Yarrowia lipolytica: one gene and its partner. The protein of the gene in region 2 interacts with the protein of the main gene of each other region in a pairwise test. Links are inferred from orthologs where the notes say so. Each region holds a gene or a part of one and is shown on either strand. Other genes may lie near its edges.

The links. The genes of interacting proteins can lie anywhere in the genome.
Region 1: the proteins of YALI1_A17177g (region 2) and YALI1_E39385g interact in binary tests that used the Saccharomyces cerevisiae proteins (3 or more experiments, as listed by UniProt). The link is inferred for Yarrowia lipolytica from reciprocal best matches to the Saccharomyces cerevisiae genes CHC1 and CLC1.

Annotation. Positions count from the first base shown.
Region 1 is NC_090774.1:3,936,894-3,939,722, reverse strand, and holds YALI1_E39385g (uncharacterized protein), read right to left. Parts: upstream 1,239-2,829; coding exon 585-1,238; downstream 1-584. Other genes in the region: YALI1_E39395g (uncharacterized protein), read right to left, coding at 1-234; YALI1_E39378g (uncharacterized protein), read left to right, coding at 1,866-2,829. UniProt on the Saccharomyces cerevisiae protein: Clathrin is the major protein of the polyhedral coat of coated pits and vesicles. In yeast, it is involved in the retention of proteins in an intracellular membrane compartment, presumably the trans-Golgi. The yeast light chain is important for cell growth.
Region 2 is NC_090770.1:1,712,321-1,719,949, forward strand, and holds YALI1_A17177g (uncharacterized protein), read right to left. Parts: upstream 5,913-7,629; coding exon 5,797-5,912; intron 5,411-5,796; coding exon 595-5,410; downstream 1-594. Other genes in the region: YALI1_A17123g (uncharacterized protein), read right to left, coding at 1-40. UniProt on the Saccharomyces cerevisiae protein: Clathrin is the major protein of the polyhedral coat of coated pits and vesicles. In yeast, it is involved in the retention of proteins in an intracellular membrane compartment, presumably the trans-Golgi.

The DNA.
Region 1 (2,829 bases), on a different chromosome or scaffold from region 2:
TTTTGTGAAGATATGGCGATTGCCCCGTCCGTATTGAACGCGCATTTTGGAGAATCCCAGCTGGGAAAGCGTAGTAATGGATTCATGTGAGAGTACCAGCTCGATGAGAGCCTCAAACGGCACCGTTCCACCTGTTGTTACCAAGACCAGCATGGTGGTGTAGATGTTGAGGATGATGAATACGACACTACAGTCCCAGTTGTACAACTTACTCAATGCACTGCTTTCATGCATGACCGATTGAGGTCCAGGACGACTAGGATTGGCACACTGTTAGGTGGGATATTCCAAACGACTGTGACAGAAATCATGTCTGCTACTGGGCTGATTCTACATCTTTTAAAGCCGAAAAACGCGTACTCTGGCTGCATCTGCTTTTGTGCTGAATTTGAGTGTAGAGTTCGTTCGATTTACGTGTCAGTATACATGGACAAGTTGACACGGCTATTAAGATGCCAGAACTTGTGTGTGGCAGTAGCTACAAGTAGTGTACTAGTACAGCACCTCAAAAGCACATAATGTGACACTTCAACCAACACAAATTACTAATTGTTACTTCATTAAATCATTATCTTATCATACATTTAGTAACCAGCGGCACCAGGGGCGTCGACGTCACCCTTGAGAGACAGAAGAATCTCTCGGAATCGAGTCTTGTCTCGAGAACCCTCCTTGGTTCCGGTGTCAGAGTCATCAATCAGCTTCAGAGCTCGGTCCCAGGTGGTGCCAGAGGAAGAGGAAGTATCATCTATGCTTGCAAGGAACTCCTTGGCGGCCTCCTGAGTGGACTTGACGCCCTCATCACGCTTGGAGTTGTAGTTCTCGTAAAAGTCGTCAATGGCCTTCTGGGCCTTCTCAATGGTCTCCTTTCGCTTAGCCTCGGCCTGCTGGTCTCGTCGCTCAATCTCCAGCTGCTGTCGCTCCTTCCACTCCTTGATAGCGGTGGACTCGGACAGGTTCAGGCTCTTGACGGAGGTCTCAAGGCCATCGACGGGAGAGGAATCCTCGGTAGCCTCAGCAGTAACAACGTTGCCGGTGGTAGCCTGTGTCTCCTCCTCGAGGGCGGGGAAGTCCTCCTTGAATGCGTTCTCGGTGAGATCGTTCTCCTCGTCCTCCAGGGAAGGGAACGACTTCTTGAAGTCATCCTCGTCGGCGTGGGTGTCCTTGATGTCGACATCGACTTCGACATCCTGAGGGAGATCGTCAATATCTTCGAGAGCGGGGAATTTGTCAGCCATTGTTGATGTGTGTGACGTTGCGTTATTTGGGTGATGAATCTTGGGAGGTGATGATGTGGAGCTTATTGACGTCACGTGTCATGAAAGTCTAAAATGTTGATAAGGTGGCTGTGGTTGTGCGAGGAGGAAAATCACGTATGGAAGTGAATTGTTTTTGTTTTTTTTGAAATTAATCCGATCAATGCGACCAATTCATTATCCCTACATTTCCAGTAGCCCCACACAATCTCTGGAGCCCCCGTTCTGACTGTACTCAGGCACAGTCAATGACCAGCCTTCTTTGGATTACTGTACGTACAAAATGTACAGTAGTCCCAATGGCAACATCGTACAAATATTTGTTGAAATTGTACTTTAATTAGTTGGTCAGACAAGGACTATGCAGAACAACGTAAATAAGTTACGAAAGGCCTAAAAACCGACTTGCAGTTTGCTGCAATTCTCCAGAACAATCATTTTAGCGACCGCTTTTACTGTCTGGAGACAACCAGAAAAGCGACACACCTGTTTTTACACCGTAACCGACAACAGGAACGTTACTGACACACACACACACACACACAGATCCACAGGGGCTTTTAGCAAGCATCATCACTTCATATCTCATCCTATTCAACACAACACCACATGTCTTTCTCAGTGGACTCTTTCATGTCGAAGCTGTCGGCACTCAATGAGACCCAGGACTCAATTGTCTCGGTGTCTCAATGGATCCAGTTCCACCGACGAGCTTGCGGACCCATCGCACAGACCTGGTACGACTACATTCGAAACATTCCTCTCAAGCGAAAACTGGCTATGATCTACCTCGCTAACGATGTGGTCCAGCAGGCCAAGGCCAAGAAGAGAGACGAATTCATCGAGGCGTTTTCCACTGTCATTGTGGACGGAATAGTATCCACCTACCGCGAGGGCAACACCGATCTCCGGAACAAAATCAAGCGAGTGGTGGAGGTCTGGGAACAGCGACAGGTCTTCAGACCCGACGTAATCGAGGAGATCAATAGCAAGACAAGACAGCTTGACAGCAGCGAAGGGCCCACCGGATCAGATGCCCTTGGAGGCAGTTCAATTGGAGGTACAGGACTCGGAGGCATTGGTGGATCGGGACTTGGCGGTCTAGGGGGAATTGGGGGATCTGGCTTAGGAGGAATCGGAGGCTCAGGTCTTGGAGGAATCGGAGGGTCCGGATTGGGTGGCATTGGAGGAACTGGCTTTGCAGATCTGGGTGGCTCAACGGCAGCACCGTCAGTTCGATCCGAGTTGCAGGAGCTCAACACTCTGCTCGGAAAGGTGACTAAAACTACGACCGTCACTGAGACCAAGAGCAAGCTTGAGTCCAGTCAGAAGTCACGGGATTCGCAAGCTCTTGCTACTCTTCTTGAAACAGTAAACAAGACTATCACAGACATTTCTGCCAACCAGAAGCTGCGCAGCGAGATTGATAGTGCTCTGCTGACTCTCAAGAACAAGCAGGCGTCTCTCCTTGAAGAGGATAAACACAACATGACTATGTTCGAGAAGATGAAGAAGGAAATCCAAGATGCTCAAAAGGAGGTCTCCAGTCTTGTTCAAGATACTAACGGTGCGT
Region 2 (7,629 bases):
TGAGCCGGTTGGGCGCCAGAGAAACCCGCGGTCGTACCATGTTGTTTGTGTTGTGTATACAAGTGTTGATGTTTTTTTTTTCTGGCAAAAAATAACGTGTTTCTGCACGCGTTCTAGGAGTATTAAAGTTACTTGAACATTCAAACAACTAATTTACTTGACACATTAGTTAATACAAAAAAGGGGACCTCAAAAAACATCCTAATTACGTAACCAAAAAAACAATCAACTCTTTGAAGCTCACAAATCTTTGCATAATTATCAAACACCCGTAAATCGGAATTTTCGGCGCGATTTGTCTCGTTATATTACACCTCGGCACTCCGATTTCCATCGAGTCGGGCGGTTGGTGTAGTGGTAACATATCTGCCTTCCAAACAGTTGCTAGCAGGTGCCAGGGGTTCAATTCCCCTACCGCTCAATCTTTTTGCTCCCCAACAGTCCTATTTCTTGTCGCTTAGTCATCTACCCTTGCAATCTGGGCTGACGGTTTATTCATGTTTTTGTTCATATTCTCTCACTGCTCAAACTGTTCTCATTATTCATATTCATACAAGACATTTATTACATTCAATCATACACAAATTTCCTTCTCTAGTACATTCCGTTGCTCTGGGTGATCATGAGCCGCTGACCTCCACCAATGATGGGGGTCTCGCTCTCGGCAGCAGCAGCGGCAGCCTCCTTGGCCTTTCGCTCCTCGTTGTCCTTCTGGAGCGCATGCAGCAGAGAAGAGCTCTCCCGGGTGACGTTGATCTTGTAGGGCATGGTGTAGTCCTCCAGCTTGTGTCTCCAGGCGACCTCCTCCACGACATCCTGTCGCAGCCAGTCGTAACAGGTGTACAGAGTTGCGACGTAGCACTCCTTGTTGCCGGTACCGACAAAGTATCGCAGCAGCTCCTCACACACGTCCTGCTTGCCCGACACGGCAGCAGTGTCGATAGCGTCCTTCCACAGTTTGTCCTGCTTGGACAGAGTGATGGACTTAGCAAACTTTTTGTTCTTCTTGTACAGATGGGCAGCAATCTGTCGGAAGAAGATAAGGTCGTGCTTCTCGAGTCGCTGGGCGAGATCGATGGCATCGTACTTGTCGTAGGCGTCAGCGGCATCTCGCAGAGTCACGTAGTCCTCCTCCTCAATCAGAATGTTGTGGTAGGCGTTGTTGACGGCAGCCAGGTTCTGCTCAAGCACAGTCACAAGGAAAGACTTGATCATGGGCAAGTTGTCGGACTTGTCAAACATTCGCACAACTCGAGACACGTCGATTCGGGCAGCAAGCACAGACAGCAGGTCAGTAACCAGCATGGGAACCTCCTTCATGTAGAAGTTAATGGCCTTGTAGTAGATCTCCAGGTTGGCCACCTTGACAATAATGTCCTTGAAGGAGGAGTGCTCAAACGCATCAGTGGATCGCTCCATGATGGCCAGAGCAGCGTTGTCCCACTCGTCGTAGTGGCAGTACAGGAAGACAAGCTCGGGCCACAGGTGGGCAGCCTCGCAGGCTCGGATCACCTTGGGGATGTTGACACGAGACCAGAAGAGCTTGAGGTGCTCCATCATCTGGCCAGGGGAGTACTTGGAGTACAGAATGGCCAGCTCGGTGAACATACCCATGTGGGCACGCTCCAGACCGAGACCCTGCTCAAACAGAGAAATGAGCTCGGTGAAGTAGCCGTGGTACTCGTACTGGGTGACGAGATCCTGCAGCTCCTCGGCGTGCACAATCAGGTTGAGACCACAGATCTGGGCCAGTCGGAATTCCTTGTTGTCGATACAAGCCTGGTTGACCTGCTTCCACACCTTGACGGAGGACGCCTTTCGAGCAGAGTCGACAGCTCCCTGGTAGTCACCGAGGTAGACGAGCACAGCGGCGAGCTTAGCCCAGTTGGAGATGGAAGAGTACAGAATCTTGGAGGCGGCGTAGTTCTTGTCGGCAAACAGCTTGTCTCCCACAGACTCCACATTGGCAACGTTGGGCGAGTCAAGCAGCTGCTGCATGGCTCGCAGGTTATCAGTGGCAGCGTAAGAGAAGAGCAGCTGAGAGTCAATGGCAGGCTCCCGAGAAATGTCTCGAGACATCTTCAGGAAATCAATCAGCTCCTCGTCCTTGCCGGCATGACTGGCAATCTCGATGACCTGGGCAAAGTTGGAGGGATCCTTGGCCTTGATGTAAGACTTGATGGCATCGCCAACTCGCAGACCATCGATCTGAGCCTTACCAAGCAGAGAGTACACCTCGGGGGTGTCGACCTTCTCGGCGTAGTCGGAGGCTCGATCCAGAGACATGATGTGATCGGTCAGGACGCTCATGACCTGGCCGTGCTTGTCGTGCTTCTTGTGGATCTCGTAGGCCTCCTCGTACAGCTCGTTGTCGATACAGATCTGAGCAATGTCGTCGGCATCGTAGTGGTCCAGACGCTCGATGTAGTTGCTGACTCGAGACTTGTCGGCCTTGACGGCGGTCAGAATCATCAGATTCTGCAGGTTGGCGTTCTCGCTGAAAGGAGAGGGCTCGAGAATGATCTTCTCGAGCAGCTCGAGCAGCTCAGCGGGGAGATCGGCAGCCATGAAGGCCTTGACGGCGATGGAAACGGCCTCAGGAGAGTCGGACTCGGGCACAGCAGTGCCGACAACAGCGTCGACAAGCTGTCGCTTGTGCTCGTCGCCAGAGAGAACCTTGTTCCACAGAGCCTCGTCCTGCTTGGCCAGCAGGTATCGAGCCTGCTGCTTGTACATGCTGTTCTCGTTGGTGATCTTGACAAGCTCGTCGTCCAGACCGCCCTTCTCGTAACAGATGAAAGCCAGGTAGGGGTCTCGCTTCTCACAGTACTTTCCGACAACCAGGGGGTTGTACTCGTTGTTCTCCTTGAGGAACTTTTCGGGGTTGTTGTTGCTGTCAATGTAAATTTTGGCAAGAGCATCAAACAGAGCGGTGTCTCGAGAACCACCGTTGAGAGTCTTCTCGAGGAAGGGCAGCAGCAGCTTGAGCTTGTTTCGCTTTTCGACCTCCTCGACGAGCTCGGACACGGGGACCTGGCCAACAACCGACATGAGCAGATCCTTGATGATGGACTCGTCACAGTCAACGTCGAGAAGAGCACCAATCACCTTGGGAGTTCGGGCAGGGTTGACTCGCTGCACGTACACCTCAATGAACTTGTACTGCTGGTTCTTGTACAGGTAGAGCACCAGGTCGTGCACAAAGTCGTACTTGTCGCAGACAATGATCAGAGGCAGCTGGTCAGGCAGGTGGGCATCCTTCATGAGGAAGTTCTTCACCTTCTCGGCGTTGTAGTGGTTGTTCTCCCGCACAATTCGCTCGATCTCGTTGGTCTGGCCAATGGCAGCGGCAGCAGTGATGTACTTGAACACCACATCGGGGTCCTCGCTCAGGTTTACAATGGACTGCAGGTAGTAGTAGAGACCCTCCTGGGAGTTGAACTCCTCAAACACCTTGATGAGGTTGAGCGAGCCCACCAGATCAGAGTACTTGGTGGCAATCTGCACAACAACCTGCAGGTTCTGTCGGATGTTGAACTTGAGCATCTCCTTGAGACACTCCAGAGTCTGGTCCACGGTGAGCTTGCCAAAGTAGGCAATCAGAGCATCGGGAGGGAAGTTCTCGGAGTGCACAACAACACGCTTGATGTCCTTGAGGTCGTCGTAGTTCTCCAGAGCCCGGTTCATCAGACCAGCCTTCTCACACAGAGAGGCAATTCGAGCACGGTCGTAGTGGGAGAACATGTCGGAGCCCAGAATGGCGTCAGCAACCTGGGGAGCGTTGATCAGGTTGACCTCCAGAAGCCGTGTCTGCAGGTTGCCCTGCTCGGGAAGGTTCTGGTTCAGCGCATCCAGCAAAAAGGCGGTGGCGGCCTGAATGTGGTTCTGAGACAGGAAAATGTCGGTCACCTTGTTGAGGTTAAGATCCTCGCCCTTCTTTACAAGCGAGGTGGCGAACTCGGCACCCTTGTCGGGGTTAACCCGCACAATGTTCTGAAGCAGGACAATATAGTCGGGAGTGTATCCGACCTTCTCGCAGTAGGGCACAATGTTGTCAAACTCACCGAGCTCGGCAAAAGCAGCCACAACCTTGAGAGGCACGTTGGCTCGAACGTAGACCTGCAGAGCGAGCTTGAGATCGAACTGTCGCACAATGTCTCCAAGCTCCTCGCTGGACTCGAGCTTGTCCTGCTGCAGCCACTTCTCAAACAGCTGCTTTCGGTCCTGCTGCAGCACGGGTCGCGCCAACTCAATAGACTCGACCTTGTTCAAAGAACCCTTGTCGAGCAGAGTGGAGAAGTACTGCAGAATGGGCGAGATGCCGCCAGGGGGTGCCTGCACGTTTTTGAGCTTCTGGATGGTGGCAGGGGTTCGCAGTCGGCCACCGGGTGAAGAAGCAGCCACCTTGGCGGCGTTGGCGTAGTCGCCCTGGTTGAGCAGCTGGGAGAACTGCTGCTCGTACAGGTCGTCGGCGCCGGGGAGGCCTCCACGAGAGGCGACAGCCAGAGCGACACCGGCGTTACCAAGACTGCTCAGAATGTACTGGACAACTTTCTGCTCGTTGAGCTCGACGGAAAGCACCTGTCCCTTTCGGTTGATACACAGGACACCCTTCTTCTGGTAACTTGCGGCGGTGAAGACGGATTCGCTGGAGATTCGGTTCATGTAGATGCACAGACCCTGCTCCAGGTCGTAGACGTGAACAAAACCGTACTTGGTCACGACGTAGACAACGCCGTACTTCTCGGCGGCAAAGACAGCCACGGGGAAATCGTTGGCGGCCTCGGGGGGGAAGAAGATATCCACCTGCTTCTTCTGGTAGACGGGATTCTCGTCCTTGTGGTCAATCTCGACGGCGTGCAGCTTGCCTCGGTTGGCGAAGACAAACAGATCCGATGGGCTGGCTCCATCCTGCAGCTGCAGCTTTGTGAAGGTGGCAGCGTGGCCCTCAATGGCCTGCGACACGTTTCGCTCCTTGCTGTAGAGCTGGATCTGGCCTGCAATTCGGCCGTCCCGCTGGGTGATGCCGACCAGAGCACTCCAGCTGCCGTTGGAGATGTAGTTGATCACCTGGCAGTCGTTGAGCGAGTGGTGTCGGTCGGTGAGCTTGACGGGGTCTGTGGTGCCAACCTTCCAGTGCAGAATCTCAGTCTCGGTGATGATGCCAATGGTCTCAGCGTCAACCCAGGTCCAGAACACCACGGGGACAGAGAGCTGACTGCTGCCCAGTCGCTGCTTGGTCTCGAGGTTGAAGGCCTGGAGGGCGCCCTCCTTGGATCGCACGGCAATCACAAAGTCGGTGGGGTGCATGATTGCCGAATCAGCGGAGATGTTTCGTCGCACGACATTGTTGTTGTTGTGGAGATCGATGATTGCCACGGTGTTGCCAGTGTTGGCTGTTTCCCGAACGCTGAGTTAGTACATGTAGGACATGTAGGTGTTGAGACTCGAGTGCGACGCGACCGATCCCGATCGCGATGGACTGATCCATCCACCAGTCGGACACAATCCAGACAGACAGACGAATCAGGAGAATCGTCATGTTGACACCATTGTTGTAACATCAGGATGCATCACCACATGTGTTCCCCTCCCCCCTCCCCCACAATCGCAAACATGCACCATTGCATCCTGATGACTCCACGTCCAATTTCAATCATTGATTCCATCCGTCTTGTTGATTGCGTATCCCGTCCCCGTCTGTGACCCTCGGTCGTCTATCTGTCACCCGCCTGTCCGTGACTGTCGTCTATCGCGCCTCTGACTATCCAAATCATCACCGCTCGCCATACTCACCAAACAAAACGATCACTCTGCAAAGTACATGTGTTGAAACCAATGGAGGCCTCAGGAACACCCAGCGATTGAAGCTGGAGATGCTCCTGAAACGTAATGGGCAAATCCTGTGACATGTTGAGGATGGTGGAAGAAAGAAAGAGTTGGGAGCACACTTGTGTACAGTTAGGCAACCTTGATGATGTGTCCTAAATGGCGCAGTACAGGAGACCGCAAACGCGGGTTAGGGAAACGGATAAACGGGGGCAAGGGCAGAATGGGCCCAACCCAGCCTCAGTACAACAATCCACACGAAATCCGCCTCGAAATCGCTCCACAATACCGTATGCTAGCCCTACTGAGTTGTGGTTGGCTGGACCACGGCTCAAGGTTAGGGTTTGCCTGGAGTTTACAGGCACACACAACGCACGATGCACACCTTGCCCAAGGGGTTAGGGTTCAGAACGTGTGTGTGTAGGTGGCAATTTCACGACCATCAGGATCAATTTAACGACATTTGATGACATTTGAACGACAATTTAACCCCAATTTAACGACAATTTAACTGAGTATTTTAAAATAACTATTGAATTAAGTGTAGGGGTGAAAATAAGGATGCAATGATAAAATGTGTACGGAAAATGTACGAGAGACACAGGTTTATGACAAAACCACGTTACGAGAAAACGCCGTTTTTCTGACCTTTGAAGCTGAAAATGGCCCTTTGACACTATTCGCTGGCGGGTCAAATTATCTAAACAATCTCATGCTGCCACGTTGTGTTCATTGTCTTGGCATATGTGCCCGCATCTTATTAGCCCAGTGCCGAAAAGTGGAAGTGGAAAAGTGAAAGTGGAAAGTGGAAGTTGAAGCAGCTCCAGCAGACGCAATTGAGCTGGGTAAGGACAGACAGGTTTTATTTATAGAGCTTTTGGCGTTGCAAACCGCTATGGGTTAGGGCATTTGACTACGAGGGCTATGAGCGGCTAAGTATCCCAGTTGCACTTGTACTTGGCATTTTTCACCCTGAAATTTCAGAGGGGCTGAGTCTTGCATCAGGTATGTGCAGAAGTGTCTCGGGGGTAGGGTGCGAGTGCGAGTGCGAGTGCGAGTGCGAGTAAAGTACGAGCGTATGAGGTTTACTTGTACCGGTTTGTTGGTTGCGAAATTGCGTACTGTTTCTTCAGATTTGGTATTCCAGCTGTGATCTCTCTGACTATTTTTATTATTTCAGTGAAATTGCGTTTTACGGAGTTAATCTGGTCGGAGTTAACCTCGAAAGTTGTGATCTCCGCTAAAGAGGTGGAAGGAAAAATGGGGAGATTAGTACGAGTATGAGTGAGTACGAGTATGAGTGAGTACGAGTATGAGTGAGTACGAGTGGAAAGGTGTGGGTTTGATGCAATCTTGGATGAAATCGTTAGAAGTACGAATCCGCTACACTTGAAGGTATTGTACTGTACCTGAATAGTAAGGGGGGAGCTCTAGATATGATATTGTACCGTTTATTCGAGTATTGGCACTCGTATTGCTACTGTCTGATACCGGTACGGTTGAAAAAACTCCAGACCAACTCGATCTTGGCAACAGACGCTACTTTGTTTGATGAGAAAAGAGGTCCATAAGTCGTCCCCGAAAGCCGAACACTTTGGAACCAACTCAGTCAATTGGGAATATTCTTTGCTTCAGTTGAATTCCAGCTCAAATTCCATCTTTCCACTCATACGTAGCATCCGAATATGAACACTTTGCACAACTGATTCGCAGATTGACGACTGGTGTTCACGGAAAGTCGACACTGGCTTCTAAGACAATCAGAAAGATGCGTTCCAAACTCGTTCTACCAGACCTCAA